Linked DNA regions of Oreochromis niloticus. The main gene of each other region encodes a partner of the protein of the gene in region 2 in a complex. Links are inferred from orthologs where the notes say so. Each region holds a gene or a part of one and is shown on either strand. Other genes may lie near its edges. The genes, in order: kansl3, phf20a, ogt.1 and kansl2.

Region 1 (7,977 bases), on a different chromosome or scaffold from region 2:
CTAAGCTCCGGCAGTGTGTCCGTGTTCGGGCCGTGGGGTGAGAAAGCCGAGAAAGACAAAGCTGATTCTGATGCGTCGGGTCCGCTCTGTGTTTACGTCTTTGTGTGGAATCCGTTAATGAATTGATATGGCTTTATTCAAGCTACTCACCTCTCTCTTCCACCTGCACTTTCAACTGGACCACGGCCAATCAGAGAGGTCCCGCCCCTGACTATCTCTGATTGGTTTAGTCCACGATAGGGGCATAATGTGTGTCTGTTGTTGACCACACGGAGAGTTGCAGAGATTTTTTTTTTTTTGTTACCCGAAAATATTTGGTCGCACCGGTGTGACCAAATTTTTTGGTCGCATTTGCGACCAAATTGGTTGCACTCTAGAGCCCTGGTACATCACCCAGTAGCTTTCTTCATTTTTGTTTATTAAATGTATCAACCAAAGTGCAGGGTATGCAAAGGAGCAGGGTATGCAATTCTCTGGGCAGATCTAGTGACTCAAAACCTGCATCACACACAGGCAAAACATGACCCAAGGGCCAGAGCCAGGCTGCACAACACTTTTAGACACTTGAAGCCCTCAAAGAAAAACTAAAATGAACCCCAAAAATAAGAATGAAAGGGGGGGATTGTGTTAACTAATCTTGGGGAGAATAACTGCAGCAAGTCTGTTCTGCAAGTCAAACAGGGGGTGCTTCACTACAAACTAACTTTTTGTGATGAACTACAATGCATTACAGATCTCAGCAGATGGATAAACATGCAACTCCCCTTGGGCTTGAATGCATCTTTTGCAAATCTCAAACAGCAGTAACTTATCCTCATAACTTAGCTGCAGCCACATATGTAAAACCGAACAGACAATTAAATCAGACATTCATATACAAGTGTGTTTGTTTATGGGTTTCACAAACAGAACAGATTCTGCATTTAAAAATGTTCTTAATTTACTGATGCAGGCACATATTCTATTATTGCATCAGCTGAGTATATCTATATTTAGATATTAGGCAACAGCATATTGTCACAAAGTGGCAATATTATTTATAATATATCATTTCAACTGTTAAATCTTTTCTCACAGTCAAACAAAGAAGATGTGAATCACTTTTGAGAATATCTGATTTAAAAAACAACAACAAAACCCCCCAAAACAAACAACAACAACAACAACGGAACAAAAACTTACATTTTCATTGGCCAGACGGGCTAGTCTTTCCGCTTGCAGAGCTTTAATGACCTTGTTGAACAATTTGTTCTGGGCCACTGTCCATCCAGTCCTGAAGCAGAATTATTTCAAAGTGATTTACTGTAAGTGAATCACTTTGCATGATGCACATGTGGAGCATTGAGGCGTTTGCTTACTTGTTTACATGTTCCTCCCAGTCATCAGGGGGCGGGGGACTCTCAGCAACTGTACGAGCAAACAGGACATGCCGCTCGCACTCCTTCATCACACTAAGGGCTTTGTGGTTATCATATAGAGGAACGGGTGTTGGAGTTACAGTTTCCACATCTATTACAGAATCTGAATCTCTGCAGAAAAAGAAAAAAATACCACATCACTGCAAGTGATTAAAAATGCTCATCAGATGACTAATTTTACCACGGCTAAAGAGAAGTAGCCTAATAGGAGCATTTTTAACTCACAAAACGGGTTCAGGTTGGCGACGTGGGGTAACAAACAGCGTCCTCGTGGGTCGAGCACTGCTGGCATCTGGGTGGGCATTCCATGGTTTGGCATAGCTGTGGTCCAGAAATACTAAATCTAACTCTCTTTCATGGGCTGAGAGCTGGAACAACAAGGATGTGCCCATCTTTCGAGCTGAGGTCTGGAAGTCTTTATCTCCACCACGATGCATCCTCTTCCTGGGCCCCAAAGGGCCCCGGGAAGACCTCAACAACTGGTGCTGATTCAGGACAAACTTGGGGAAGAAGGGAAGAATTGTTTTTGTATTTTATGTAAGACAATCCAAGAATATTATCACATTTGTCTGCCAAAAAATGACTTGATCATAAAGTGGTTCTGCTAATTTTACAGAAATACTGTTAAACATAGAAAACACAGACACACGCCCAAGCACATATATGTGGGGAAAAACTGTGTGTGTGTGAAAAGATCTGTATCAATTTTAATATTGAAACTCTTACATCATAAAACCATAAAGTTTGTGGTAGGAAAATAGCCCCAAACAAAGCCTTTAACACCCTTTAAGTGTTGACATATCAGAAAGACAACAGAATAATTGAACTACAGTCAGCTCTGTGGAAGCGAGCACATTCAAGGGTCTGCACTTACACAACTTCTAGTTTTCATGCATACTGACAACGGGTTGAGCTCCAAATATAACTTATTTATAAGTTATTGATTAAAAACAACAACAAGAACAACAACAGCCTAAAACCCCCCAGAAAGCAACAATAAAATCACTAACAAAACAGCACAATGAGCAATAGCGAAACAGGTTCAGCCCTGGTACAGACTGACGCTTAACACGTTTATACTCTGTAAGCACCACCCATTAGCTTCTACCATGTACTAGATATTATTTTGCCATTATAAACAACATATTGAGTCGCGTGTGGCAACTAACCGAACGTCCCACTTAATACGTGGGTTAAGTATAATAGGTTCAATATTTATCACAAATACCTTCGCAAATTCACCCGCGACTGAAAGCTGCGTAATGACCTAGCATGCTAGCATAATCATAGCGAGCTAAAAGCTAAGCAAATGGTGTTCCGCTCTTTACCTCTTACTTTGATCACTCCATGTTGGCCGCGACGGCTTCAGCTCCTGCTTCGAGCAAAGCAAATATAAGAACGGCGTATTTACCGGGCAATGGAAGAGGTTATATGAAACATAAACATTTAGCTCGTAAAAGCCACTTCCTTTTGTTCGCTTCGTTGCCTTGTTAGGCTCCGCGCCCTCCCTTTCTAGGCCCTAAATTCAAGCGGCTCAGTCAGGCCTGCTGTTTCTACCAAACTGGCAACCCTGATCGTGGCGCGTCAGAGAGAGAATGACGCAAAATATGGACTGGATTGATAAAAGTCTGGATTATTATCGGTCCCCCCAGAAATAAAATACATGATTTAATGACATGAAATGTGCGTAACTGTAACTTGTTAAAAATGAATCGTACCATTTCCAAGAGAATTATATGTACAGTATATTCTATGACTTTTTTTTTCGTAGGTAATGTCATTCTTCAAAGGTTGATTCTGTTCATCTGGACATAACGTATTCAGTGGGAGCAAAGTTTCGTCACTCATCCAAGTGACTTCTTCAGTCTCAGCTGACTGCAGGTTTCCCCAGTCTTATAAACAGTACATTTGCATATTGACTGAAACTAACACTGAATGAACAATGGGCTGGGAGGTCAGTTCCTTCATCATGATTATGCACATTCTCATGACCATTGATCAACAACCACTGATCAATGGGCATGAGTACTATTCACAGAGAGTTGGGGAATGGCTGCAATCACAGCACTGTAAGATGGCGAAAGATGTCCCCGTAGGCCCCCTCCTCGATTCAGAGATGGTCTTTCCCTTTTCACTCCGCGCTCAAACCAGCGATCCTCCCTGTCCAGGATGTGTACATCCTCATCATTGAAAGAGGTAATGTAATGATGCGATTTGCTTTCAGGAATTTCCTTGCCACCCATCTGCACGCCCCCCTATCCCTTGCTAAATTCTTATTTTTTTTTAAACTGTAAATAACAAGAAAAATAAAATTAGTAACCGACTTTCACTTTCAGAACTCCAGATCAGTGAATGATGACAGTGACAGTAACACCGGATCCTGTTCCGTACAGCTTTTCATTAAACCAATAATAAAGCCACTGTTTCAGTGTAAAAACTACAATTAATTAAATACAAGAGAAATGAACCGGTTTCAGAGCGACAGGAGAAGGAAAAAATCTATAAATAACCGTAAGCTTTCAAATTGCACCCATTGTTGTTTTATAATGCTTTAATGCTCCTATTAATACTATTAACCCTGGGGCCACTTTGGACTTTACATATCTGCTCCAGACACATCCGCCACCAGACACAGCCTTGCAAGGCTGTCCTATGTTGGTAATAATTCTAATAAAAGTGAGCACAAAAGAGAGGAAGACACCCTGCAATGAGCTGAAACATTAACTTGTTATTTGCTGCTTAAAACAGATTATTATTATTATTATTTGGTTTTCATATGTACCTGTTTTCACTGATATTAACTTTAATAGAAGGAAATTAACTAGACAGGGCAGCACGGTGGCAAGGTGGTTAGCCTTGTTGTTGCCTCACAGCAAGAAGGTCCTGAGTTCAGTTCCACCATCAGGGGTCTTTCTATGTGGACTTTGCATGTTCTCCCCCGTGTTTGTGTGGGTTCTCCCATAGTCCAAAGACCTGCAGTTAGTGGGGATAGGTTAATTGGAAACTCTAAATTGTCCATAGGTGTGAATGTGAGTGCGAATGGTTGTCTGTGTCCCTGCGACAGACTAGCGACCTGGCTAAGGTGTACCCTGCCTTTTGCCCTAAGACAGCTGGGATAGTGTGACCCTGAAAAAGGATAAGTGGAAGTGAACAGATGGATATAATTCTTTTCTGTCTCTCTTTTTTTGTCATATCTTTCAAGGAACCTATTTTTGACAACAGCATAATAAAAATGAAAATTCTGTTTTTGGTGTGCCACTCCAATGTTTTTAGTGTCCCCTATATGGCCACCATGAAGCCAGTGTGAATGTGCATTAAACCTACATTCTTTTTAACAGCCAAAATGGAACAATAAGTTGCAAAAATACTAATAAGCCTATAGAAGTCTACAGAAAACGACCCTTGCTTTTTACCTCATTAAAAATTTTCTCAATAAAGATTATGGTCTCAGTCACTAATTTTGGGTAAGAAGTCTGTTTTATGAATTGTATTCAGTCTAAGTTACAGAAAGGAGGGTTTGAGGCATAGATTATACAATAAAGTCATAGATCATATCACTAATAAAGGTGTCTGTGAAGGTATTCTCAAGGGTTGGATAACTGTCAAAAACAAGAGGCTCCTGGTGATTTTTTTAAAATTAGTTTGGGTTCAGTTTAAGATTTGGTAAAACCAACAAATCAGAAAGGAAGGAAATCAATGAGGAAAATATGTTTTGGTAGCAGACTGACTAGGGATGACAGTTTTCAATTAAAATCATGTGTAACATTTTACAAGACTGAAGTCGCATGTCGTTTAAATGTCTGTTCTTTTCTAACAATAACCTGTTATAGCTTGGCTGTATTTGGAGCTGAGAGTGTGCCGCAGTGACATACCTTTATAAAAACTGCCACAGCAATATTTCTTTGTGTTGCAACTGTAATGTTCATAATTGCATTTTGATAATTTAATCTATCCTCCCGTCCAGGTGAAATCGCGTTTAAAATATAGAAAGCTAAAAAGTATTTCATAATATCAGTGTGCAGTGTCTAAAACCAATGGCTGACACCACTGTGTCCATCTACTTGCTCTCTGACCATCACAACCAGCTTTTTTACATAGTTTCTGTTGTAATTTAACTATTCTTCTAATAACGTTTTAATATTAAAAACTTCACCACACACACACACACACACACACACACACACACACACACACACACACACACACACACACACACACACACACACACCAAAACTATGTCTGAGCCAAGTTATGAGAACTACTGCTCCAAGCGACTTCATCCCCTCGATGCTAGAATTTCTTTTGCATCCGTAAAACACCCACCAAGTGTGAAGCAGCTTAGTCTACTATTATCTGATTCCTGCACGATTTGAGTTGGCAAAGATACAGACACTCTTTTTTAAGTAGAAGTACAGATACATAATTAAAAAATGCTCTGGTAAGAGCTCAAATACTGATTCAACTTCTTACTCAAGTAAAACTGAAAAAGTACAGGCTCTGAAATCTCAAAATAATACATTAAAAGTAGCTCTTTGTTGGGCATTTCCATCTGTGCAAAGGACTTCATGCTATTCAATATAACACAATATTAGAATTGTATTAGAACTCTAGTTCAATTGAATTTCTAATTCTAATGCATTAAACCACCTTGAACACAAACAAAGAAAACTAAAAACTAAAAAAAACCCTCTATTTTATGCTGCCTAAATTGTAGAGGGTGACTTTGCCTCCGCACCTAAACAGAAAAGTGAGTATAGTCAGGGGTTAAAGTGGGATTCGGCAGATGGGGGTTTTAGTGACTATGCGTGGGGAAAAGAATCACAACTCGCAATAATTTCCATGAACTCTAGTAGATTTGCAGAGCTGAATTCAACAACATATTGCCAGTTTCCATGCCCTTTCATCTTTAAACCAGAAAAAAACCCATAACTTCACATCATATACAGATACATATACAGCAATAGAAAGTAGAGATATTTGTGTAAAAATGTAGGGAGTAAAAGTGAAAAGTTTTCAGAATAAATAATAATACTATTAATACTCAGAAATATTAACTAATAAATACTCTAGTAAAGCAAAGGTACTTGAAAATTCTCCCAAAGTATAGTAATGATGTGTTTTTCCTTTAATAATTCCCACGTCTGTTATTTGGTGAGTGACAGATTGCGAGATCTCTGGCTCAGACTTTCAAGCTGCCTGTGGAACTGAAGGTTGAGGTGCCTGAGCTGAAAAAGTGACTGAGAGTCGGTGAATGAGTGAGTGAAGGAGAAACCCAGACAGATGATAGTGGTCAACGCTAGATGAGAAGAACCATGACCAACATTTTTTTATTTAGCTCTGTTAACATTCAATGCAACTCACCAAACATGCATCATATGAATTCTTGTTCAAGAATCTAAAACGATTAACAGGCATTTTGAATATGTTTTCTTCCTCAAAAATGGCACGAAAGCGATATGAAAGGCATCATTTATATGAAACGCCCATCTTCAGACTTTCAGAACACCATAAAAAAATGAATCACTTCAATACTGCACTAAAAACTGGACACCGTATTGTTGGGTCATCTTTCTTGTGCACTACATATTCACATGCCTCTGGGTCAAACACTGACACACAGTCATCAGGGAACCATTGTGGGGTGGCACACCTGTGATAATGCAAAAGACACACAGTTAACAGTGCATCATGTAAAGTCAAATATAACTGATTTTTCCATCTATTTAAATATCAGTAATTTAATGTAAACACTAATGCACGGCAACATCTGGTGCAAGTACAGTCCCAACAATTAGCTCTCCATCGAGATCCCACTGCATGCCAATTGTTATTGTCATCCTTACGATGGGTTGATAGATAGATAGATATTATTCTGGCACAGTTCCTATTGAACTAAAAAATGTGAGTGTATGTTTATCTCTGTGTGTTATTTCAGTTTTTTTCTTACCAGGTTATAATTTTTTGTTGATGCACTCACTATTTGTCAGTGACAGCAGAGTGCACAGCAGCAGAGCCAGAGCCAAGTATTTCTTCAGAGGAAAACAAACATTGCAGTTTGATTAGGCACCATCTAAGTAATTACTTCTGTACATTTAATTACCAGTAAACATTAAGTCTTATAAAATTGCTGCTTATTTCCATAATTTATATCATTTTAGCCTGTCAGAAATGTACAAAACAACTGTTTTGTACATTTCTGACAATATTCAGATCTTCTTTATTTCTTTTAAATCGGAGAAATAACTTGATATGCCAAGTTTAAACAAACACAGTTTGCATGCAAGCTTACTGGAATTTACAGGCAGTAGGATAGACCACCCCTCCCTTCTGTTTAATTTCAAAGGTCAGGCAGCATTTTTTGGAAAATGATTTAGTTCTTGCTTCAAGGTAAATAGATATTCAGTTCCGATATCACATGATGAGTTGTCACTGCTTTACTATTACAGGTATGTTTTGTTTCCAATGAGGGACTATCAAAATAAGACAGGAAGTAATTAAAACATGAAAACACTGAACACTTAGACAGAGAGCTTAATATGTGTGTGACTAAACTAACTGG
Region 2 (7,432 bases):
CGGTAATGGATCAACACTTTTTCATCTTCATAATCAATCTTCTCAATGTTGGCAGCATACCTACAGGAAGAAATTCAATGGCTAGTTTATAGAAAGGCTGAATGAATGGCAAGTCTAGTGATTTAGAGCACTTATCATTTATCTCAAACATATAATGAGGGTGGCTTTAGAAATGAAATCAAGCTTGAAAATGTAAACACATAAAAAACAATGAACCATGGCACAGCTGTAGTTAGTGGATGGTGTGCTGGGCATTTACACATTACTGTAGTGGAGTTAGTTTTCATTTTTAAATTATACCTTTAGTACTAAACTGTTGTATACAATATCAACTGCATTTATACATAACCGTGTGAGTGCACGTCTATTATAAAAGACATTTATATTTTAAAAGGCTGCTCCCACTTAGCTTTGCAATAGCAGTGTTCTAATGATGTAGTCTTATCACACATTTAAAGGAATCATTCCTTTAAATAGAATTTAACATGTTTTTACATGATTTTCACAAGCCTTAATAATGCAGTTCAAAGTTGAGCTTAAGGGACACCTTGAGAACACTCATCAACATTTTTAAAACATTACGGTTACTGTAATAAAGGCCCAAAAACAAACAAGGAACGGAAACTTAGGTGTGAGAGGGAAGGGAACAGTAAAATGGATGAGAGAGGAATGAGTGAGGCCATGACTCACCAGTTTTTGAGGCTGTCTCTAGCCTCAAGCTGAGCTCCCACCTCAAATGTTATCCCTCTTCTGTTAGGGGGCGTCTTACTCATACTGCCCACATCAAGGCACCCTTCCTGTATGCACACACACACACACACATTAACCATTAAAAGAATCTGCACTCATATGACCTCTGTTTTGCAACTAAGAGACATATATTGTGCCGAACAAGGGACACAATACACACGTGCACACACACACGACTGTCGAGGTCTTTACAGATAATAATGCAGTCACCTCTGTGTGTGCCTGAGGTCTTTCCTAAATATTTCAGCAAGTGACTGGAAAAATAAATCACTCTTTAAACCTGAATACCAATGTAAGACACCCCCTTTGTGCCAGCAGAACAATAACCCTGTCCAGCAAGGGAAAAATACTACCACTGTAGGCTTATACAAGCTACAGATTACAAATGTTGTTACATGGTGTGGCACAGTGTGCAGAGATTAAAAACTGATATATTAAGGTGAGCCATGCCCCTCAAATGGTGGTGAATATGTAGCCAGTACCAGATGTTCAGCAAACACTACCTCAAAGAATAGGAGTCTTTAAAAAAATAAAAATAATCAAATGTCCTCACACAGACTCCTAAGCGGTTTTAATCAAATTTATCACAGTGCGATTTCAGTGTATCCTTATCAACCACACACATCGAAAGAAGGTTCAAGAATGACAAAGATAATGTGCTCACTGTAGGCATTCACCACTACAGCAGGAAGACATTTCTGCACCGAGCTAACACGGGATTGATTTAACAGCACATTCTGCTTAAACTGCCGTTGTCAGATAAAGAATAACGCTGATGATCACCATTTCAGCTATAACAAAAATAAAAATAAAAAATAATGAGGGTCATTGGAGTCGATCAGAGGAATAGACCCAAATCCTCCCGATAACATCGCTTCTTTTGTCATGCGTACGTACACAGGACAGACTGACATGCCGGCGCCTTTTATTTAAACAACTAAAGAATCACACCATGCACCACAGCGTCTTACTTTTGTCCACGACGGAGCCTAATCGGTTCACCATAGCGGAGACTGTCGGGAGTAACTCCGGATTTCTGCGCAACCTACAAACCGGATATCTTCACACTACCCTGCCCACGTGTTTTTTTGGTCAGTCGATTTCACGTATAGACACAATGGGAGACAATGGTAAAGACCATTATGGTTGCACGTAGGGTATTCCCGCTACATTAAGAGGCGAGCAATAGTCTGCTCGGCAAAAATACTCGATTTAAGATCAAACCGATTGTTTATTGGCGTGCAGAGAGCTACACAGACGGGAGCGACACGGACACAGAAGACGCACAAGAGACGTGAGATGCCACAATCAGGGCACATGAAACAGGTGATAAAATTACTTTAATCTCAAAATTATCCACTAAGACTATGTGTGGAGTAGCACATTTCGCATTGTAATATGCGGAGGAAAACGGAACCCCATATACTATTTTACCACCGGCCCACCCAATACCTTTAACAGCGTTCAACCGATATTTTCTAACTTAATAAAAGAGGGAAAAGCTGAAGAGAAAAAACACTCTAAAATGACTCGACATTTCCCAGATTTCCTTTTGTTGACCACTTCTACCACTATAGACGCGTTATTGTCCAGTGTTTTATAACCGGAGGGCGGAGCGCGAAAGTAACTGACACCTACGTCAGACCCTTTGACAAACACCACTGGTCGAACAAGCGCTGTGTAGGCGGGACGCTTACATTTGATTGGGCGAGCAGCTGTCATTCACAGAGCCGTTCGCGGCCTCGCAGAAGGCCTACTTTTTCATACTTTTCTGGCTGTGTGTGCGCGCGGCGTGGAAATGCCGAGTATAAACTTCTCCAACTAAACAGCCACAGACATTTCAAAGCACAGAGTAACAAAGACCGTAGGACCTGAAAGCACACCTGCTATATAACAAATACAAAACCGATATGTACTCGTATAACATTTTATTACCTACTTCGTCACGTTTGTTTTGAACTCAAAAAGCCGACATGCGGCACCATACCGCTGTTGATGCACCCACCAACCGGGCCTCGGTCACGATATTACTGGGAATTCAAATCTGTCGAATGCAAAGTGTGGATATTCAAGCTTCTTACCTGTTTACCAGTCACTATTTGTCCGGTTCGATGTATAATCTGCTGTGTAACTGATTAAAAGCGCAGGAACCGCCGGCTCCGCCTGTCAGCTCAAGACCACGCAGTTAAATTTCTCCCCGTTGCATTCGCCACCGGCGCGGGCAGTGTGCTTCTGCGATGCGCATGCGCATTAAACGGACCAAAGCCCTTGTGAATATCAATAGGACGTTTCATCTCATAGTCTGTTTCATTTCGTATGTATAGATAAATATTCATTAAATATTTAATAACCTGCAATTTGCCAAACTTTATCTATTATAAACTGTAATAACTATGAAAATGTACAAAAATGTAAAAACAGTATTTGAAATCAGAAATGTAAGTCACATACTGTACAAATCCGTAATAAAGTCTAAATACAGGCACAAGCATAAATACAAGCACAAAAAATCAGAATTTCAATGGCTTTTTAGTACAACTGTTCCTTGTATAATGTTAAATTGTGTTTAATGTTTCCTAAATAAGTTGCTGTTTTGAACTTAGAATAGTAATGCTTTCAGTCCCTGACTATGCCCAGGGGACATGAGTGTCTCCCCGGTGTATGTTCGCCTGGATCTCTTTTCTTTTACTTGTTCGAGTCCCAAAGGCAAAGCCCAGAGCTCCTATTATCTTGCTGTAATGTTTATGTTGCTCGGGCTTTGCACCAGAATGACCGATGAAGCAGAGTGAAGTTTGTGTAGTGATGAACATAAGAATAAATATTTGAACATGTACAGTGAAGGCAATGACAACTGTGGAGAAGTGTGTTTGTGTGTGTGTGTGGGGGGGGGGGTTCCGGTATATCTGATTGTTAACTCTTTCCCTTGTGAGTCTAAGGACAAACAAGAAAAATGGATTCTCATTCTCTGGGTGTGATTGCGTAACACACTGCAAGAGGACCCTGTTTAAAACTACTTTCTGAAAAACATTGGCTGATTGAGAAATATAAAGGCGTATTACTTCTGCTTTTGAGAGTTAGATCCATTAACATTTTAAATTGCTAAATATAGCTATTAAATATCTTTTGTAACATGCAAGCCAAAAACAAACTTAATCCCTAATGATTACATTGAACTGATGTATCAGTGTATACTTTAGTAGTTAAAAATAGTTTAATCCCTTAAATCAAATAAAAAACTCAACATTTTATATTTTAACATTAGAAAATATTTTAGTATAAAATCTTAGAGTATATACAAAAGAAAAAACAATTAGAAAATAAAAATAGGTGCAGTAATTTATTGAAATGAAGAAACATAAACAGAAAATCTGTATATAAGGCAAAAACTGAATATGTAAAAGTCTAATGGGCTTGAGTCATTATTTGGTATGATCATCATGATCCTTCATCACAGACTGAACTCTTTTAGCCAAGGTCCTAAAAAATTATGTATGTATTATGTACTAAAATTATGTTTAGAATAAAAAGCTTAACAGGACTGATATATTTGTTTCCACTTGCATGAAAACATCCACTCACACTGTCATGTATGTGTGTGATATATGCAGAACTCCAAAAGTTGAATCTGTTCATCTGGACGTAGCGTTTTGTGGGAGAAACGTTTCGTCACTCATCCAAGTGACTTCTTCAGTCTCAGCTGACTGCAGGTTTTGATCAACAATCACTGACCAAAACCCACTGATTAAAGCCCACTGATCAATGGCCATGAGTACCATTCAACAGTGTTGATCAGTGTTCTTTGATCAGTGGGTTTTGGTCAGTGATTGTTGATCAATGGTCATGGGAATTTGCATAACTATGATTAAGGAACTGACCTCACAGCCCATTGTTCCTTCAGTGGGCTGGTTTCAGTCATTATGCAAATGTACTGTTTATAAGGTTTGGGGACACCTGCAGTCAGCTGAGACTGAAGAAGTCACTTGGATGAGTGACGAAACGTTTCTCCCACAAAACGCTACGTCCAGATGAACAGATTCAGCTTTTGGAGATTTACTTTCCTGGATGATTGAGAATGCATCAAGACGATATATGCAGAAGTTGGTCCATTGCAAATTGTTGAATGAAGAATTCTATAAACAAGTGTGAAGGTTTGGTTGGGTGACCCATCCATGCAGTCTGACCTGTGGTTCATTTCTTATATTCTTGCGAGCGTTACAGCCGTCTTTGTGTTACTTTAGCAAAGCTAAATCTGTTTTTAGCTTGTGGTAGCCTAGTTGAAGAAGCTTAGATAAATGTGTCCATTCATAAATTACTGTGCTTGAGGACTCAAAGAGCACACATTCACTTTATTTATTTTTTTTACACATTTAAGTGCTTTCACACTCCAATGAACGCACTCTGCTTTTGTATTTCGCCCAAGGACACTTGGAGCACCTAGTGATCAAACCAACAACTTCCTGATTAGCAGATAACCTGCTCTACCTCCTGAGCCACAGCCACCCACATGTTAATAATGGCCCAAGAAAATATCTGGGTTGGGGCCTATCACACAATTGTGACACCTGTGAATGATTCATGGGACATTGTTAACCAACTTAACAAACAAAAACATTCCTCTGAAAATGGTCAGGTAAAGGATTAGATTGAAAATGAATGATTAGTGATTTATCATACCTCATACCTGGTATCAGAGGACTTCGTTACTTTGTTACTTGGTGTTCTTCCATACTTTTCTCCAAACTATTATTACCAGAATAAAGGCAAACTGCCCCAAACCAAAAAAATCAAAATACAAATAAATTACACACACTAGGGAATCCAACAGTAATTTTGAACAAATCTTTATTCATGGACAGTCATTCCTTATTACGATGAGAAAGTATGCCAACACATACACGCATGTACAAGGAAAGTGGTTTGAATCATTCCTATGTTCGTAAGATGAGCGGTTACAGCAGAGAAATGATCAGTTAATTACAACACAAAAGTTTTTTTATTGCTCTTTTACAGCAACAGTTAAGCTCACCCATAACCCAGACCATTAGAATACACTTACAGGAAGTTACTACTATTTTACATGTAAAATATTTACATCGACAAAGCCTTAAAGAGGGTCACAAATAAGCTCAGTTTACATTCTCATAGCACTTGACAGTTAAATCAATATTCCATTCTCAGTGAAGGAGGCTTGTGTTAGGTTAATCAAATTTTCAGTCTGTGAGAGAGAGAAAGAGAGAGGCCATGTACAGTTCTCACATCTAACACCCGTTTTATAGTAAGACCTGAGCCAAAAAAAAAAAAAAAAGCATTACATACGGACCACAAACACAAGAGAACTCTATTCCAATTGAAATTTATCTTACAGATAATAGAGAGAGTATTATCAGTTGAATAACCAGCCTCTCACGTCGTTACAGCGTGAGCTGTAATTAGAATTAACACTCCCGTCTGGCTTCGGCAATCGTTTGAATTTGGAAAAATCAAAGTAGTTCCATGTTTATTTGCTTAGAAAATTGCCACCATTCATTATCAAGAGCTTTCTGCACATCCCTCTAGTTTGTGCTTTGAAATGAAGCCTCTGTAGTCTATCAGAATAATTGCGGTGGAGCGGCTTTATATGCCTCGTAAAATTAAATACGAGGAGACCGGCTATCAGTACGACTACTCAAAACAGCACAGGCAAGCTTATTAACAAGACACCATTACAAGATCTCTTTTACATTTCATATGTTCAATTTTCTGTACATAATAGAAGGCTGTGCCTTTTGTTCACACGCTGACAATCACACACGCTTGAATGAAATCAACCAGGGGAGTGGGGAGAGGAGAAAAAAGAAAAAAAAGGCAGAGCGTTAACACTGCTGCCTTATGTTTTTTTTGTGCAAGAAAGGAATTTCTGAAACTAATTTTGTACTTTGCACAGCCCAGTTGTCCCATGTAACTATAATACTACCAATTAGATAAGAAATAAAGGTAAACCTCTTCACATGCAGCGGTTAGAAAATACAGTCATTAAAGTGAACCACTTGTAAGCAGTCACTGTGGATTTTAGTATCAAAATCAGTGAATCCTAAGGTGGTGTGTTTGTCTTTCAGTAAGAAAGCAGGAGAGCGCAAGGGCTCAAAGTCCCAGCTAAAGCGGTTTTCGAACTCCTTGTGTTGTAAGAAGTTTAATGTCACCTCAACAGTTTCCAGTGCAGTCTGAACAGAGAGACAGTGTTTTTGCATGCTTCTAAATATATAACTGGAGACGTTTGAGGGCTGATCAGCCCCTGAGGTGCACTCTCTGTGCTTTGCAACCTCTACACCACCCCTTCAATGAAACTGGTGTCCAGGTGAACGATGAGCATTCTCAGGAAGGACATCTCCTTGCGGGTGTTCTCGAAGATGATCCGTGGGTCGTCGGACTGGCATCGGAGGCAGTTGGGAGCCATCACCATGGCCAGGTTGTTCACATCCATCTTGGTAATTGCGACATTGGATGGCTGAGCGAATACCTGGAGATAAAAGTGAAGGAGGGAGAGGAAAAGCAATCAGGTGTGTGAACTGTCTGAACTTTATGTCACTTATGCATGAGTCATATTAAATCATCTAAAAAGGTCAAGTGCTCAACAGTTTTATTATATAATTACTTTATAAATCAATCAATGAGATTTTTAAGAGTCAACCAACACTCTGTTTTG
Region 3 (7,606 bases), on a different chromosome or scaffold from region 2:
CTTGGCCTCTTCCAAACGCCCGAGGGCTTTAAGCAAATTCCCCAAGTCACTGCGCACACAATATAGATCCTGTGGAGATAAAAAAAAATAAATTACTATTTCAATAAACAGCCGATTTGTGGCCATTCTAACTAAATACATGTATAGGGCATTGGCACATATAATTTAGAAAAAATAAATTAACTCACTGGGTTGTATTGTAATGCGGAGACATAAGCCTGCACGGCTCCCTCCATATCTCCTGCGGCCACCAGAGCTGCAGCCAAGTTGATGTACCCATCGATAAAATCTGGCTTGAGTCTCAGAGCATGGCGATAATGCTCTATTGCCTCCTGCAGCTGCCCACGCTCCTTGTACACATTCCCCAGGTTGGAGTAGGCCTCAGCCAACATTGGGTTCTGCTTGATGGCCAAGGTACTGAAGTGAGCGGACCTGCAAGGAAAGATTATGCACAAACGGTTACACTCCAGAGCTGACACAGTTGGTTCAAACTGCTGTGTAGAAACAACAGCAAGGCCCAAGATGTTAAAGAACAGAAAATTAGTTTAAGATGCATTGTCAAATATGATGAAAATCCCAAATATCAAGACACATTAACATGGGCCACAGCACCTGAGCAAAACTCTTTATTCAAATGTCTACTATGCAAACTAATTCTCGTGCAGGCAGTACAGCCCAACATAAGTTATGATGAAAATACTGCGAAGAAGATCACCATGTTCAATCTGATCCCGTGAGCCGTCATGGAACATTTTTACTAACCAACAGTTTTTGGGGTCAACAACAAAAGCATGCAAGTTAAGTTTAGCATTTATATTATGGTTAAATACCAAATTCAACAGCATTACAAGACTGTAATGCTACTGGCATTGTCCACATTTAAGGATTTGAAATGAGTGAAAAAGCATTTAGATCATGTTACTTGAAAGACCCAAGCACCTGAAAAGAAAGGTTACACTCCCACCACCAGAAATGCACAAAACCCAAGTTAAACCACATAACAGGATTTGCACAAGACAGCCCAGCTGCTCCACAGGACTCCCCAGTGTGTGCACTCAAAGCCAAGACGACCCATTTTTCTCTGCTACTGCTCACATGCCCAGTGTGCTTTTCCACCCCCCCAACACCTCACCTGTCGAGTCTTCGGCACTGGAAGTGGATGGAGGACAGGAGCAACAGCACGCCTGTGTTATCAGGCTCCTGCCTCCACAGCTGCATGCAGTGGCGCTCAGCTGCCTCAAAATCCCCTGACTGATACTCCCGGTGCGCCAGCTCAGCCAACCCTTGGAAGGAAAGCATACGTTTTGTTGGTTCTGGAGCACCAACATAAGCCAAGGAGGGGGAAAACGACACGTTAGAGGTGATGGAAAAAATTAAAATCAGACAAATGATAACAGAATTTTTTTTTTTTTTTTAGAGGAAAAAAAGACAAATGCTTTTATTTAAGAAGAGTGACTAACAATTTGAACTCAACATAAAACAAGGTTGGGGTTGGGGGGGGGGGGGGGGGGGGTCATGATACACATTTGGGGATTTTACATTTTATTGTGTTTGTAGGACTCACAATAAAGTCTAACAAATAAAAAAAATGGAGGAAAATAATGTGTGATGGGAAAACAGGCAGGCAGATGGATGAAACAGGTGTGAAAAGTTCTGGCAAAAACCCTCCATAACACATTTTGGATGTTTAGTAATTTCACATATCAAATATGTACTTTTAAAAAAACAACAACAACAAAACACCAGATTACTTTATTGTAACTTATTCTAATACAATTTCTAATTTTTTTTGGCCTTGTGTAATAGTTTTACATACAACTATGGTTTTATAACTACCACTTCACAGTGGTAGTGAACACATCAAAACGCTCTGCTCCAACAAAACGAAATAGTTACTCCAAGGTGGGGCAGAGAAAACAAAGCCACAGCATACAGTTAAACTTTTATTGCAGGGCTAATAATGCAGTAGATCCGGTTTGCTCAAGCGTTCATGACACTTACGTAACATTACTTGTGGAAAGAGTATAGCTTAAATTGCTTAAATCACCAGTCACAATGCGCGTAAATGCCGGGGTTCAGAACATTCTGGTATCAGTATCGCCGATAACCTTTGGGATAAATGCTACCATTAGCCTAAAGGCTATCTGTGCTAAGCGGTGAGGCATGCGGGGCCAACTTCAGTAGCAAGGCCCCCAGATTACAAATTTCAAAGACATCATCAAGCCCCTTTGTGCTAACTTAGCTTTTACAGCGACCCTTAAACATGAAACAAAAATGGTGCACCCCGAGCAAACCGCTAAAGCACCTTCGTGGAACGCTGATTCGTCTGCATTAAAGTGTGACTAGCAGACAATTTACGGCTACTTCGACGCAAACCTGTGCTAACCGCTAAATTACGCTAACGTTAGCTTTAGCGCTTTTATTGTCGCGATGCGAGGTAGAAATTTGAGCCCGCGTTGCTATTACTAACATGTTCTTCCACGTTGGACAAAAGACAAATTTAATAAAAACGTGGCTAAAATGGTTTACCGATTTTCTTTTTTTTTTTAAGGTCTATTTGTTAGATACTAGCTCGATCGCATCTAAGGGGGAAAAACCTACACAAGGACACCGTCTTTGAAGCTTGCCTTGTTGCCTTCTGTGTAGAATTACTTGCATAAAAACAGCAAACCTGTGCTGTCGGCCACGTTTCCCACTGAGCTCGCCATCTCCTCGGTCTTCGAGTCTTGCACGGTGGTCGTCAATGTGTCCTCTAGCAGATAACAATTTCAGAGAAAAAAAAATTGCGACAAGCAGCAAACACGCTGCCCGAATAGCTATGCAGATTTAGCTAAACTAATGTCCTAACGTATGTTTTTTTTTTTCCCCCCCCTAAAGCGACAAATGTAGATCTCGCAGTGGTTAGTATCAGCTGGCTAATACCCAATCAATTGTCTTGCTGTTAAGAGGTCGTTTTTAAGCTAACATGTTACGTGCTGTTTGTTAAATGGCTCTTGCTAGCTTCCCCTTCCCAACAAAGCAGCAGTGAATCATAAAATGGCGAGATGGGTGGAACTCGTTTTTGAGATAAACTAGATCCGTTCACCGCCGTTACCGAGACACGTGTGTAAAACTGTAATAAATATCGCACTTAGCGATATAAAAATATTTCAGAAGATTTGTGATTACATTTTTCTTCATTTATCGCGTGTTATTTCTTTGTTTACTAAAGTTTAAAAAACACATTAGGAACGATGCTGCGCGGAAGAACACATTGGTGCAGTGAGACGGAGTGCAAATGGAAAAAGCCAGCAGAGAACCGGTTGTAAGATTCACGAGGCAGATCATCTATGGATTGTAACGTGTTACCACAGCCGCACGAGTCTGGCGTGCAGATTGGCGGTAACACGGAAGGAGAATAATGTGAGACACTGACATTATATAACAGTGGGTGGATTCTGTTTAAATTACGCAATGTACAGCTGAAGATCTACGCGGCTGTGCTATGTAGATAAAAGAGGCGCAAAAACTGAAGTGGTAGTGATGTTACCTAAAATACAATTCAAGAATTACATTATGCAATTATACAGTACTGTGAACAAGTTGTCACAGATCATTCAGATCATCAAGCAAAGCTTAATATTAGACACAGATTAATGAGATAAATTATGATTTATTTTAGTAAATAAATCCCAATTTGTGAAAAAGTAAATGCCCTCGAAACCTGTTTTTAATCCAGACTTTGACTAAGCCACTAAAATATCTTTATTTTGCTTCTGTTTTTGTTTTTCTTATTTTTTAAGTCATTTAGAAGTGGACTTGGTGTGTTTTGTATCATTGTCCCACTCATAATCCAAACAGGCTTGGGCTTCAGGACATGAAGTGCTAGCCAGACATTTTCCTTCAGGATTTTCTGGTAGAGAGCAGAATTCAAAGTTCCATCAATTACGGTAAGTCGTCCCTGTCCTGGAGCAGCAAAGCAGCCTCAGACCATCACACTACCACCACAGTATTTGACTGCTGGTATGATGCTCCATTTGACCAAATACTGTGTTAGTTTTATGCTAGATATAACGGGACTCAAACGTTCCCAAATGTTCAGCTTTTGTCTTGTCAGTCCAAAGACTATTTTCCTTAAATTCCTAAATATATGATCAAGATGTTTTGTTAGACGAGTCTTTGTGTTCTTTTTGGTCAGCGATGGTTTTCTCCTTGAACTCTCCCAGCTCTCTTTCTTATTTTTTAATCATAAACTCTGACCTTAACTGAGACGTGTGAAGCGGTTCTTTAATGTTGATTTGGGGTTTTTTGTGACGTCCTGGCTGAGTCATCGTTGCTCTCTTGGAGTAATTTTGGTAGGCCGGCAACTCCTGCAAAGGTTCACCTCTGTTCCATTTTTTTCTCTATTTGTGGATAATGGCTCTCACTGTGAGTCACTGGAGTCTCATTACCTTAGAAATCGCTTTCCAAACCTTTCCAGACTGATAAATGTCAGTGACTGTTCCTTATCTGTTCTCGAGTTTCTTTAGATCGTTCCATGATGCGTTACTTTTTGAGATCTTTTAGCAAACTTCACTTCTCCGATAGGTTCTATTAAGTGAGTTCTTGGTTCGACAGGCCATTAATCAGGCCTGGGTGTGGCAGGAGAAACTGACCTTACTATTTTTGATAAACGTGGTTAATCACAGTTAGTTCATCATGGGGAGGAAGGTAGATAACTTTTCCCCTAATAAATTTCTTTCTTTCTATTTACCCAGGTTATCTTTGCCTGATATTAAAATTTGTTTGATGATCTGAAACATGTGATTGTGAGAAATATGCAAAAACCTAAGGAATCAGGAAGGGGGGAAAATACTTTACACTTTACAACTGTGCATACTTTAATGAGCAGATCAGCTGAAAGTGTAGAAAAATTTAAGGAATGGAAAATAATTTCCACATATTCCAGATATTTGTTAGGGACAATGTTAAGCCATATAATTTCTTTAATGTTTGGGATTGTTTCATTGTGGGACAAAGAGGGGTGGGGGTGTACAGGGTTTTTTGTTGTTTTTCGTTCCATCTATTTCTAATTTCAATACCTGCATGACTCCCCAACACAATAGGTGTAGCTTTAGCATAAATTCTGAATTAATTAAGATAGAAATTGGTTTTCAAAAACCTTTGTCAGCACAGGCAGTCAGCTTGGGTGTACAAGCTGCACGGTATGCAGCTTTTTGGTGCAACTATTCTGCAGGATTCATAATCACCAACAGAGGGCAACCTTTGTAAACCCATTTCTTAGATTCAGATCCGGAGCCTTGCAGACTGGCCTAAGACACTGTGCATTAGATCTTTTTATTTCTGCAACATGTGTCTGTAGTTGGAAATGTGATGTAATGTACTACTAAGATGTTCTTCCTTTTTTCACAAAACTGCAAGAATCCTTTCTATGGTTTTAAAGCTTTACATCAACCAGCATCAGAATTTAGTGACTGTTTTGTATTCAAACTAAGTGGTTATGTACAACAACTCTTTGAGTGACATATTTAATGTTACCTTTTCCAATTAAATGTGAGGGATTAATATGCCATTTATGCTAGAAGATGTTAAAAAGGGGGGCTGCACCCCAGTTTTTTCCCATAGCCTCTCTATGGGAAAGCAGCTGACATCACTGCCCATGTTGGTTTTGCTCTGTGTGCTCAAAGCATGCACAGGGCGCCTGGTTTGTGTGCTCTTCTTCACGTTCCTCTGCTTTGCTCTCACTCTTCACACCGCTTCGTCGGCCTCTTGTGCACAGGATGATGTCATGGGTACCGTGTGTCTATGGCGATTGAATGTGACATGCTTTATCTTTGTGCAGGCTACGGTCACAAGGAAGGCAGTCAGTGTGAACGCATCTTCCCCTGCCGAAAGGGTCAGTGACAGCTCCGCACAACAGACCCTGCTTTCACACAAGCTATTTTAGGAAGCGTCCGAGAGCAAGGGGTCCGATCACACGTCAATTTGGATATGGCGATATCAAAATCACAGCAAAGCTGGGAGATATTTGGAGTCCGTTGTGCTGCTAAAATACCAGCCCAGAAAATTCTGCCACCAAATGAGTGGCCTAAATTATTTCAGCCCATTTATTTTCGGATAAGATCCAGTGCAAGCTGATGACCCACATTATTAGCAGTGTTTTGGAATGCTTTACTCGGGGGTTATTTGTTTATTTGTTGAATATTTTTGTTGCATTCAGTCATTCGTACCTAAACGGGTACGTATTATGCTCATTTCCACTCTATATTTTTATTCTTGGTCACCACTACTTTAGCTTTGCATCCATTTGATAAACACTTATCCAGTTCAAGATCAGAGGAATTGTGGAGCCTTTCATCTCATCCACAAACCGAAACAAGCTTTTTTAGCTCTTCTCCCTTTAAAACAGAGGAGCATTATTATTGATACCATATAAAAAAGAGCACTATGAAATCCTGGGTCTGCAGAACATGAGCTCACTCTACACATGTTGTTCTGTAATTAGTAATTTTCACATTCCTCTGCTCTTTCCAATTCTGAACATCAAGTATTTCAGAACCTGTCTACAGTTTCACATTAATGGATCCTTTTGATTTTTATGGCTGTAACCTTGTTGAGGCACTAACCCAGCCACAGGGGAGCTGCAAGCAAGTATACGGCTAATGTCAGTCCCAATCCTGGATAAATCAGGAGGAATGGTGTTTGCCATAAAATGAAAAATGAAGACAGGTGTGTAGAGGTTAGACTAGGGACTTTAAATACAGGGGACATGGCTGGTAAGTGGAAGGAGAGCTGGCTTATATGGTTGAGATGGCAAAGATAGAGTAGAGAGACGAAGTTGAGACAGTTGGGATTTGCAGAGGTGAGATTGTGGTTAAAGTGAACAAAGGATGGCACCAGGCAGGAGGAAAAGGCGAAGAATATAGAGAGGATTCATGGATGTAGTGAAGGAGCGTATGCAGAGGGCTGGTATGTCAAAGGAGAATGCTGGGGATAGGATGAGACTGATGCAGAGGATCAGTTGTGGGGAACCCTAAAGGGAGCAGCTGAAAGAAGAAGAGCGTTGTTGAGGCATTGTAATTCAAAACTCATATATTCTATTTACACTGACGATAAGTGTTAGTTCACAAAGAAGTTGAATTTTACTTTAAGATGATTACATTTTATGAGGAACATTCTGACTATAATGAGCAAGCTGCAAAAAAACCCCCCCCAAAAAACCAATCATCTGCATCTAGGCAAATAAATGTCCCATCTGCATCTGCTAAACTTGCCTTTGATTACAAACTACAACGAGCAAGAAAGGAAAGAGATCCAGACAGAAGTCCTGAATTCACACAGAACACAAATATCAGGGAAAAACCAAATGGCTTCACAAGATTGCTAATAAGAAAACATCCATCCATCCATCCATCTTCTTCTGTTTATCCAGCTGGCTCATGGACAGCAGTTAAGCAAAACACCCAGACTTCTCTCTCCCTTGTCATCTCCTCTAGCTTATCCAGGGGACCATCGAGGTGTACCCAGACCAGCAGAGAGATGTAATCTCTCCAATGTGTCCTGCCCTGGGGCCTCCTTCTAGTGGGACATGGCTGAAACACCTCACCCAGGAAGCGACCAGGAGTCA
Region 4 (7,700 bases), on a different chromosome or scaffold from region 2:
TCCTCCATTTTCGCTGTCCACACTGCAACGCGAATACGGTGTTTTCAAATTTATCCACTTTGGAGAGTGTTTTCAAACCAAAAATGCCGTCTCAGTGTGGACGGAAGGCCAAAACGGAGAGAAAAAGACGCATTTTCAAGCAAAAACGTATAAGTGTGGACATGGCCTAAGCCTTCTATCTTGAACTACAGATTCTTATTCAAACTACATAACTACACAATGTGAGTTGAGAAGAAAATCTTAAGAGCTTACTTCAGAGGATCCTCGTGATCACTATCGATGCTGTCAGCCTCGCTGTCTGGGTCTCCTCTCCACGTCTGGTCCAATACCAACGGCCCCTGCTCTTCCTCACTCAGACTGTCCTCATCTAGCAAGAGGGAGGAATTAGTGGTATTTTTATCTGACACTTTAGGTCATGTTTAACATCACCCACACAAACGTGTGCGTTTAAGAGTCCTCTGACACTCTTAACATCATTGATGCTAGTTATTTCTCTTGCTACAATTTAAATACAACTTGTCTGGTAATAGGCACTGCTAAAAATGATACATTTTCATAGATAATGTTCATTACTTTTTCTTGACATTTAGCTATGACGGGAATTAAATGACAAGGAAAAAAAATCTAACAAAACAAAATAACTCTTTCACTGTGACCATTACAGACGTTTGCAAAGAGATGGATGTCCTTAGTTTGAACTTAGTGTATTCGTACAACAGGAAATAAATCAGCATTTTACAACATTTAAAGAACAACTAATGAGCTATAAACTTTTTTAATCTTTCCACAAGTGTACCAAATAACCCAACCAATAAAACTAATAAAACAACAAACAGTCTGTACAACTACATCAGCTTAACCCACATGCACCCAAATTACTATTTCCAAGTCAAAAAGTGGCCATTACCTAGAATGCGGCTGGCTTCAGAGCGTCCTCCATCAAGGCTGTGTGACTCTGCTCGGCTGTACCCACTAAGTTGAGACAGCAGGGCCTCTGGTGACGGACCAGAAGACGCCTTTCTCATTTGAGCTCGAAGAGCCATGGCATTCCTGCGAGCGTGCTCTGCACAGAAGGTCACTCTACAGAACAGACATTCAAATTGAAATTAGGAGGCTGCGTGGTACTGATGAGTTTATTTACATTCCCCCTTCTCTTGGGACTAAGTTCCCATTAATGAGATTCACAGCAGATAATGATGAGATTTAATTTCTTCTTAACGATTGTTAATGGCTGATTTGGACCTTCCACCCACCCGTCTTTCCTCTCTGCCTTTGGTGCGGCATTGGGACACCGCTTCCCGTTCTTGGCAGAGACGTAGCTGCACTGTTTGTAAGGCGCATTTTTGTCCTCCAAGATGTGTTTGATGCAGAAGTCCAAGCCTTCAAGTCGTGGCTGAGAGCAGGGCCGCTGGGTGAAGGAGCAAGCCTGTGGCTCCTGAGGTCGGGGTGTCTGGGTCACCCGGTTCCGACTTGAGGGCAAAACGTGGATTCGTATCCTGTTCATTTCAAGCCTGCGTGTAAATTTAATAACAAAAATAAATACATTTTTCCTGTTCACACCAAATGTTTGTATGGCTGCATGCATGAATAACTGCAAGAATACCTATAAAAACATTTGTTTGAATGTTGGAATAATGTTGGTATGTATTTTTATTCAAACTACTATTTTTGGTGACCAACAGGCTGGTATTTCAGAAACTGCTGATCAAAGATGGATCACACAGATCCAACTCTAGGGTTTATAGAGAACAGTATGAAAAAGAGAAAATGTCCAGTGAGCAGCAACATGTCAATAGAAAGAAATTAGAAGAGGATGGCTAGACTGCACTGAGCCGATAGGAACTCAACAGAAACTCAGATAACCACTTGTTTAATCAAGGTATGCAGAAGACCACAGCATGTCAAATCTTAAACCAGATGGGCTACAGCAGCAGAAGACTGGATGATGATACTCCTGTAAGCTAAAGCAAGCAGGAGGGGATTGGAAAAGCAATGTCTGGTCAATTTAATATATATTGAAAGGCCAGGATCTGATGTAAACAACATGAAGCTCCATCCTATGGTGTATCACCAGTTCAGGCTGGTGGTGGCGGTGTAATGGTCGTTCTACGCACACTTTGTTAAAATCCCACAGCATACCCGATTCTGACAATGTTCAACCCTTTATGACCAGAACACTCATGATGGCGGCTTCCAGCAGGATAACATACCGTGTCAGAAAGCTTTAAACTGGTTTTCTGAACAATTACACTGTACTTAAATGGCCAGGATAGATACTCGTGGTTTTTCGCCTTTTGATCCCAAATTTAACCAAAATAGAAAAAAAATATATAGAAAATATGCACATAAGGTGTCATAGACCGAATCACTATGAGTACTTAAATTTAAATGAAGCTGTATAAAAATAAAACAATGTTTTCATGTTATTGGTTTACTGACGTTTAATTGGGCGATGTCAGTTGGTCGTTATTAACTTGAGTAAAAGCTTATAAATATTACGCATACGACCTAAAGGCAATTGTAATAAGTAATACAGAGTAATAAAGGCCGCATTAATGTAAGAGAGAACGGCTTTTTCTTTTAATTCAGATATAAATCGCGGAGACAAACTCCTCTCTGCGTTAATGGATAAACTCTAACCGGGCGCCACACCGAGCTTCAGCCCGCCTCTCCTTACTGCGTCACTTTAACAGTTAAGACGGCAGTCGCCATCTTTGATCAATCGCTGCTAACGGCAGCTAAATGCTAATTTTCTCATTTTGCAGCGAGGATAGCAGGTCGGTGCCAAAAAACTGCCGTATTCCTCCATAACGCCAACGTGATTGTATGCCAGAACATGAACATATCGCTAATTTCTATTTGCGGCCGCCTACCTTTGTCTCGGACATCCGAGCTAGCGTGGTCTCCCGAAGAACACTGTTACGTCGATTTTCCTGCATTCCCTGTTAACTGCCACAGCCGCCGCTTACAATAAGTAACCCCGCCCACCTAAAGATCCGATTAGCCAGTGCGCCGGAGTGAGGTAGCCCATTGGCCTATCCAGTTGCCATTCAAAGTGTCATCCACCCAATCCATTTACACTTTTATCATAGAGCAGGGTCTCGAACTCTTTAGAGCAGCGGTCCCCAACCTTTTTTGCGCCACGGACCGGTTTATGCCCGACAATATTTTCACGGACCGGCCTTTAAGGTGTCACGGATAAATACAACAAAATAAAACTAGTACCGGTACCGAAAAAAAGAAGATTTATTCATAACATACGTGAAAAGACCCAGGAAAACCGAGTTAACGATAAAAACGATAACAAAATAACGCTGAAAACCGATAAAAACCCTGAAAACAATACATTTCACACCCGAGCCTCAACTCTCGTGGCCCGGTACCAAACGACTCACGGACCGGTACCGGTCCGAGGCCCGGGGGTTGGGGACCGCTGCTTTAGAGCACAACTTGACCTCAAGAGGGCTACACTTGTAATACCACTGGATAATATCCCATATCTTTTAAAAATAGAAGAAAAGAAAAGTATATTTCGAAAACATTCAAATGTAAAACTTTAACACACCATGCATTTACAAAATGATGATATATCAAGTAGAGTAAGTGCAATTTCATCAGTTGCTCTACAATGCCTGTATTACCCCTCAAACATAATTTTTTGCGAAATATAATGGGTAAAACTGGATTTTCTTTCAGGGCAGATCAAGCTCCTAGACCACATTTGACATCACTGGCATAGATTAACATTAACAATATTTTTGCAGAGTTTGATGTTCACCTATAAAATGCAATGTTATTGATGAGCCAAAAAGAAGCACTTTCTTAAAATATTTTTATTGACTTTGAGAATAAAGCAACCACATTATATCAAAAAAGAACAGTGTTCACATATTTTAAACTGGAAAAAAAAATCTCAAAACTTTTTCTTTTTCAGACCTGAGTGTCACTGAAAACACCAAGACATGAAAACACATGAAATTTATTGTAGCTATATGATTTTTGCATTGTTAGGTTGCATGAGTGTCGTCCGTTTTTTCTTACATATGGGTTTTAATATGAAATGTGTCCTTTTTGTGGCTTGTTCACAACAAAATGGTAATACTTAAAATGGAAGCTTTGCCCAGATTAAACAAAATGTTTCAAAAACAGTGGCAATTTCACACCAGAAAATCTATTAGTCTAACCATTATACACGTAACACTTTGTCAATTGCATTGTAGGCAAACCTACTGAGATAAATATTCAGTGCATTTACTGTTTCCCTGTTACAACCAAAAATAATAAAACCTCTGCTGCATGAGCAAGAAGCTTCTCTTTTCAAGCACATTTTCAAATATATGAAGGGGGTAAAATATACAGCTGGACGGCTGATTTGCTGTGCTACATTACTGTAAAATAAGAGCACTAATCCTAAACAATTAAAAGTTTTATGAATAGGCAATAACCTGCTTATCTTGCCAACAAAATCTGGGTATTGGCCTTCATGCTCAAGAAGTGGAGGTATATAAATAACCTGCTGGTCACATATGATTCTGTACAACCACAGAAAACATGCAAACATGTTTTTATGATGAATGATGGCATGTGGGCAGATAATAAAACAAACCAACGTTAAATATCCACCAATTTAGTTTAGAGGAATGCAATCGAAAGACAAGTTTAACATGATTAAATCAGACCAGAGTGAAGTGACAGCTACACTAGGGTTTACACTTTTAAAACATCCCCACAATTAGATATAAACAGATGAGCTATGAACTTTTATACGATGTTAAAACTCTGTATACTGTGCTTAGTAGGGTCTAGCAAATCTGGGAAAAAGTTTTTCCTGACATAATTTCTTGTCTTCTGAAAATTATACATTTCCATATATGATGCTTATTTCTTTGTCTTTGCATTTACCTGTGATCACCCTAAAAAAATGAACTCCTGAGGAAACACAATAAGGAAAGAGAAATAGTCTAGACAGATGCTCTTTTTGTTGGCATTTCCTTCATTGTGACCAAAGCGCACAGATGTTTCAACCGTTTGTGAACAGATGAATGTTCTTGCTATGAACTTAGTGTATCCATTCAAGAACCAAATATGAATATTTTACAACCATTTAAAACAATGACTGCAAGACATAAAAACTTAAAGTGAAAAGTATAAGCTTTTCCTAATTTACATCCTTTTTTTTTTTTTGCAAATTTGCAAATATAAAGGTTCCAATGTTTGTTTTAAACATTTTTTTTACATTTTTTTTTCCTCAAATCACCAAATAGCACAGCAAATATAACATATACATAAGGGATGAAGCCATTTTTATGGCTCACAAAAAAAAATAAAAAAGGAAAAAATAAAATAAAGTAAAAAATATATCGAAAAGATGGCTTTGGAGACATGCACTCTAACTAGGCTGTACAGTCTTAAAGAAATGACCATCTGTTCCAAAAGAACAGAGGTTTAACCCTACAAAAAGGTAGAAAAAGGGGACCTTTTTTCTTTTTTAAAATCATTTGATCAATAAATAACACCCTATAAAAACATTATAAAAAGAATCATTTAGAAGACCAACCAGGTATGTCATGGAAATTTTTCCAAACACATTGACATCCTCTAATTCCCGTCTTCTTGTCACATATCATTTGAATTTTTCAAAAAGAAAAAACAAAACACTATCTACACTTTCCCATAATTCTTTTTGTCTCACATTTTGCAAGTCCCATTATTGCCCCACGAGTACGCCATAAAATCCTTTGTTACCCCCAGTACATTTCTCTGCTGTCACACTGAAGACTATAAAATGTTGGGTGGCTGGAAAATATCATACAACACTTTATGTAACAAGATGATCAAGATGTCAAGTAAAATGTACATAATGTGGTTTCCTGATTAGAAACTTATTTGGGCAAAGGCGGCAGTGGGGGAGGCGGCTCCGTGGGCAGGGGAGGGGGCCTAGGGTTGTTTCCTCTGGAGCTGCTCGAGTACCGATAATCACCATACTGAGATCTGTAGTCAAACATAGACTGCTGGGACGGCTGCACACCCTGTGCACTCAGCAGTGAGTTTAGCATCTCAAAAGTGTCCTGGTACTCGTTGGACTGGGCTCCGCCAGCTGCACTGTGACCATTAGTGTCAGTTTTGTCGCTTTTGGAATGCGAATAGCTTCCTTGGTGGTGGGGGAGGCCCAGAGATGGAAGAATGTCAGAACCATGCCCCAAAATTTGTCCGGAGGAGGAAGACAGGGGAGGTAACTGGTAGGGATTCCTAGACTTGCTCACTTTGGAGGGTGGGTGAGATCCCGCTGAAGGATCCTGGGAGTGTGTCCTCTTGCGTGAGGCAGATGAGGATGAGGACGAGGATGAGGAGCTTGTTCTAGAGGAGTCACTTGGTACTTTTTTGCTGCTTCCCAGCGTGCCGCTGGAACTTGATGAATGTTTGTGTGAAGAAGAAAGTGAGGCACTACTGGAAGAGGAATGGTGGTGGTGAGAGTGATGATAATGGTGGTGGTGGTTAGAACGCTCCCTGTGCTTGTCCCTGCTTTTGCCATCCTCTCCTGAAGTCCCCCTCTGCTTGTCAGGCACTCGGATTTTGACTTTGATGTCTGGATCCTGGCCTCGACCACTGCTGCTATGTCCACTGCTTCCTCCTGATCCTCCAGCAACTGGGAAGCGCATTTTTAGAGAATCATGCCTCTCCTTCTCCAAGGGGATTTTAAGAATAATGGGTGATGGGTTGGACATGTCAGAGGAAGCGCTGGGTGGATGATGGTGATGCTGCTGCTTCTCCTTCCTCTGTTGCTGGCCAATGAGGGCCTGAGCTGCATTGGCATAATCTCTCTTTACGCTGGCCTCCATGTTCTCCAACTTTCTCTTTTGGGCAGCCAGGACGTCAGCATTCTTGGCACGGTACTCACTCAGCGACACCTTAGCTGGGGCGTGGACCTCATGGTTAGGCTGCTGCTGTGGTTGCTGTGACTGCTGCTCAGATCCACCTTGACCTTTTCCACTCCAAGTCTGAGCACTGCCAGAAGCATTCGTGTCCTTGTCGCCCACTGATGAGGAAGAGGAGGCAGAAGGTGGAGCAGAGAGGCTCATCAGGCCTGCCACAGTACTCTCTGATGAAGCCATGGAAATCATGCTGATCATGGTGTCCCTCTGGTCACCCTCCTCCTGGACTTTTGGCTTGGCTTTTGGTGTCTGTCCGCCAGCCTGGAAGAAGAAAAAAGTCAGTCAATGTCCACATTGAATCGGGAATTTTTAATAACAAAAAGGAGCAGGTAAATTTGTGTTGTACCTTCCAGTTGCGAATTCGCTTCAGTCGGCTGGGTGTTTTCTCCAGGATTTGCAGGAACTCGTGTGTAAGTTCTGGAAGTGGGGGAAAAAAAAAAAAAGTCAAATCAGCCCTTTAATTATCTAAACATTTTTTTCTTAAAGAGCATTTATTGCACATACCGTCCAGCAGCTCAAGGGTAACTGTAGGGTCGACATACTCCCACCAGTGTTTGCCATCTGTAGACACGGGGATCTCCCAGTTGGACCATTTGCAGGCAAGGTGGATGCACACACAGGCTACAACAGGTGGACTATACTGCAGGCAGAACGTTGTCAAGTGCAGGCTATATGGCATGATACGTCCAAGAAAAAAAGCAAACAGGGAAAGAGAAAACAGAAAATCAGTGTGTTGAGCTTTAACAAACCACACACAAACTTTGGTGA

The links.
Region 1: phf20a (region 2) and kansl3 share a complex: the UniProt entries of both Homo sapiens proteins name them as parts of the NSL complex. The link is inferred for Oreochromis niloticus from reciprocal best matches to the Homo sapiens genes PHF20 and KANSL3.
Region 3: phf20a (region 2) and ogt.1 share a complex: the UniProt entries of both Homo sapiens proteins name them as parts of the NSL complex. The link is inferred for Oreochromis niloticus from reciprocal best matches to the Homo sapiens genes PHF20 and OGT.
Region 4: phf20a (region 2) and kansl2 share a complex: the UniProt entries of both Homo sapiens proteins name them as parts of the NSL complex. The link is inferred for Oreochromis niloticus from reciprocal best matches to the Homo sapiens genes PHF20 and KANSL2.

Annotation. Positions count from the first base shown.
Region 1 is NC_031977.2:13,605,905-13,613,881, reverse strand, and holds the start of kansl3 (KAT8 regulatory NSL complex subunit 3), read right to left. Parts: upstream 3,007-7,977; 5' UTR 2,754-3,006; exon of another isoform or gene 2,747-2,753; intron 2,670-2,746; exon of another isoform or gene 2,647-2,669; intron 1,919-2,646; 5' UTR 1,856-1,918; coding exon 1,644-1,855; intron 1,530-1,643; coding exon 1,359-1,529; intron 1,274-1,358; coding exon 1,183-1,273; intron 1-1,182. UniProt on the Homo sapiens protein: Non-catalytic component of the NSL histone acetyltransferase complex, a multiprotein complex that mediates histone H4 acetylation at 'Lys-5'- and 'Lys-8' (H4K5ac and H4K8ac) at transcription start sites and promotes transcription initiation.
Region 2 is NC_031970.2:31,064,959-31,072,390, reverse strand, and holds the start of phf20a (PHD finger protein 20), read right to left. Parts: upstream 3,007-7,432; 5' UTR 2,832-3,006; intron 2,343-2,831; exon of another isoform or gene 2,203-2,342; intron 2,181-2,202; exon of another isoform or gene 1,722-2,180; intron 798-1,721; 5' UTR 774-797; coding exon 691-773; intron 61-690; coding exon 1-60. Other genes in the region: arhgap46a (rho GTPase-activating protein 39), read right to left, coding at 7,052-7,246. UniProt on the Homo sapiens protein: Methyllysine-binding protein, component of the MOF histone acetyltransferase protein complex.
Region 3 is NC_031966.2:27,677,151-27,684,756, reverse strand, and holds the start of ogt.1 (UDP-N-acetylglucosamine--peptide N-acetylglucosaminyltransferase 110 kDa subunit), read right to left. Parts: upstream 3,019-7,606; 5' UTR 2,709-3,018; coding exon 2,672-2,708; intron 1,314-2,671; coding exon 1,133-1,313; intron 433-1,132; coding exon 189-432; intron 70-188; coding exon 1-69. UniProt on the Homo sapiens protein: Catalyzes the transfer of a single N-acetylglucosamine from UDP-GlcNAc to a serine or threonine residue in cytoplasmic and nuclear proteins resulting in their modification with a beta-linked N-acetylglucosamine (O-GlcNAc).
Region 4 is NC_031984.2:6,824,435-6,832,134, forward strand, and holds the start of kansl2 (KAT8 regulatory NSL complex subunit 2), read right to left. Parts: upstream 3,006-7,700; 5' UTR 2,874-3,005; intron 1,512-2,873; 5' UTR 1,505-1,511; coding exon 1,254-1,504; intron 1,081-1,253; coding exon 908-1,080; intron 368-907; coding exon 253-367; intron 1-252. Other genes in the region: ccnt1 (cyclin-T1), read right to left, coding at 5,883-7,193, 7,279-7,349, 7,437-7,600. UniProt on the Homo sapiens protein: Non-catalytic component of the NSL histone acetyltransferase complex, a multiprotein complex that mediates histone H4 acetylation at 'Lys-5'- and 'Lys-8' (H4K5ac and H4K8ac) at transcription start sites and promotes transcription initiation.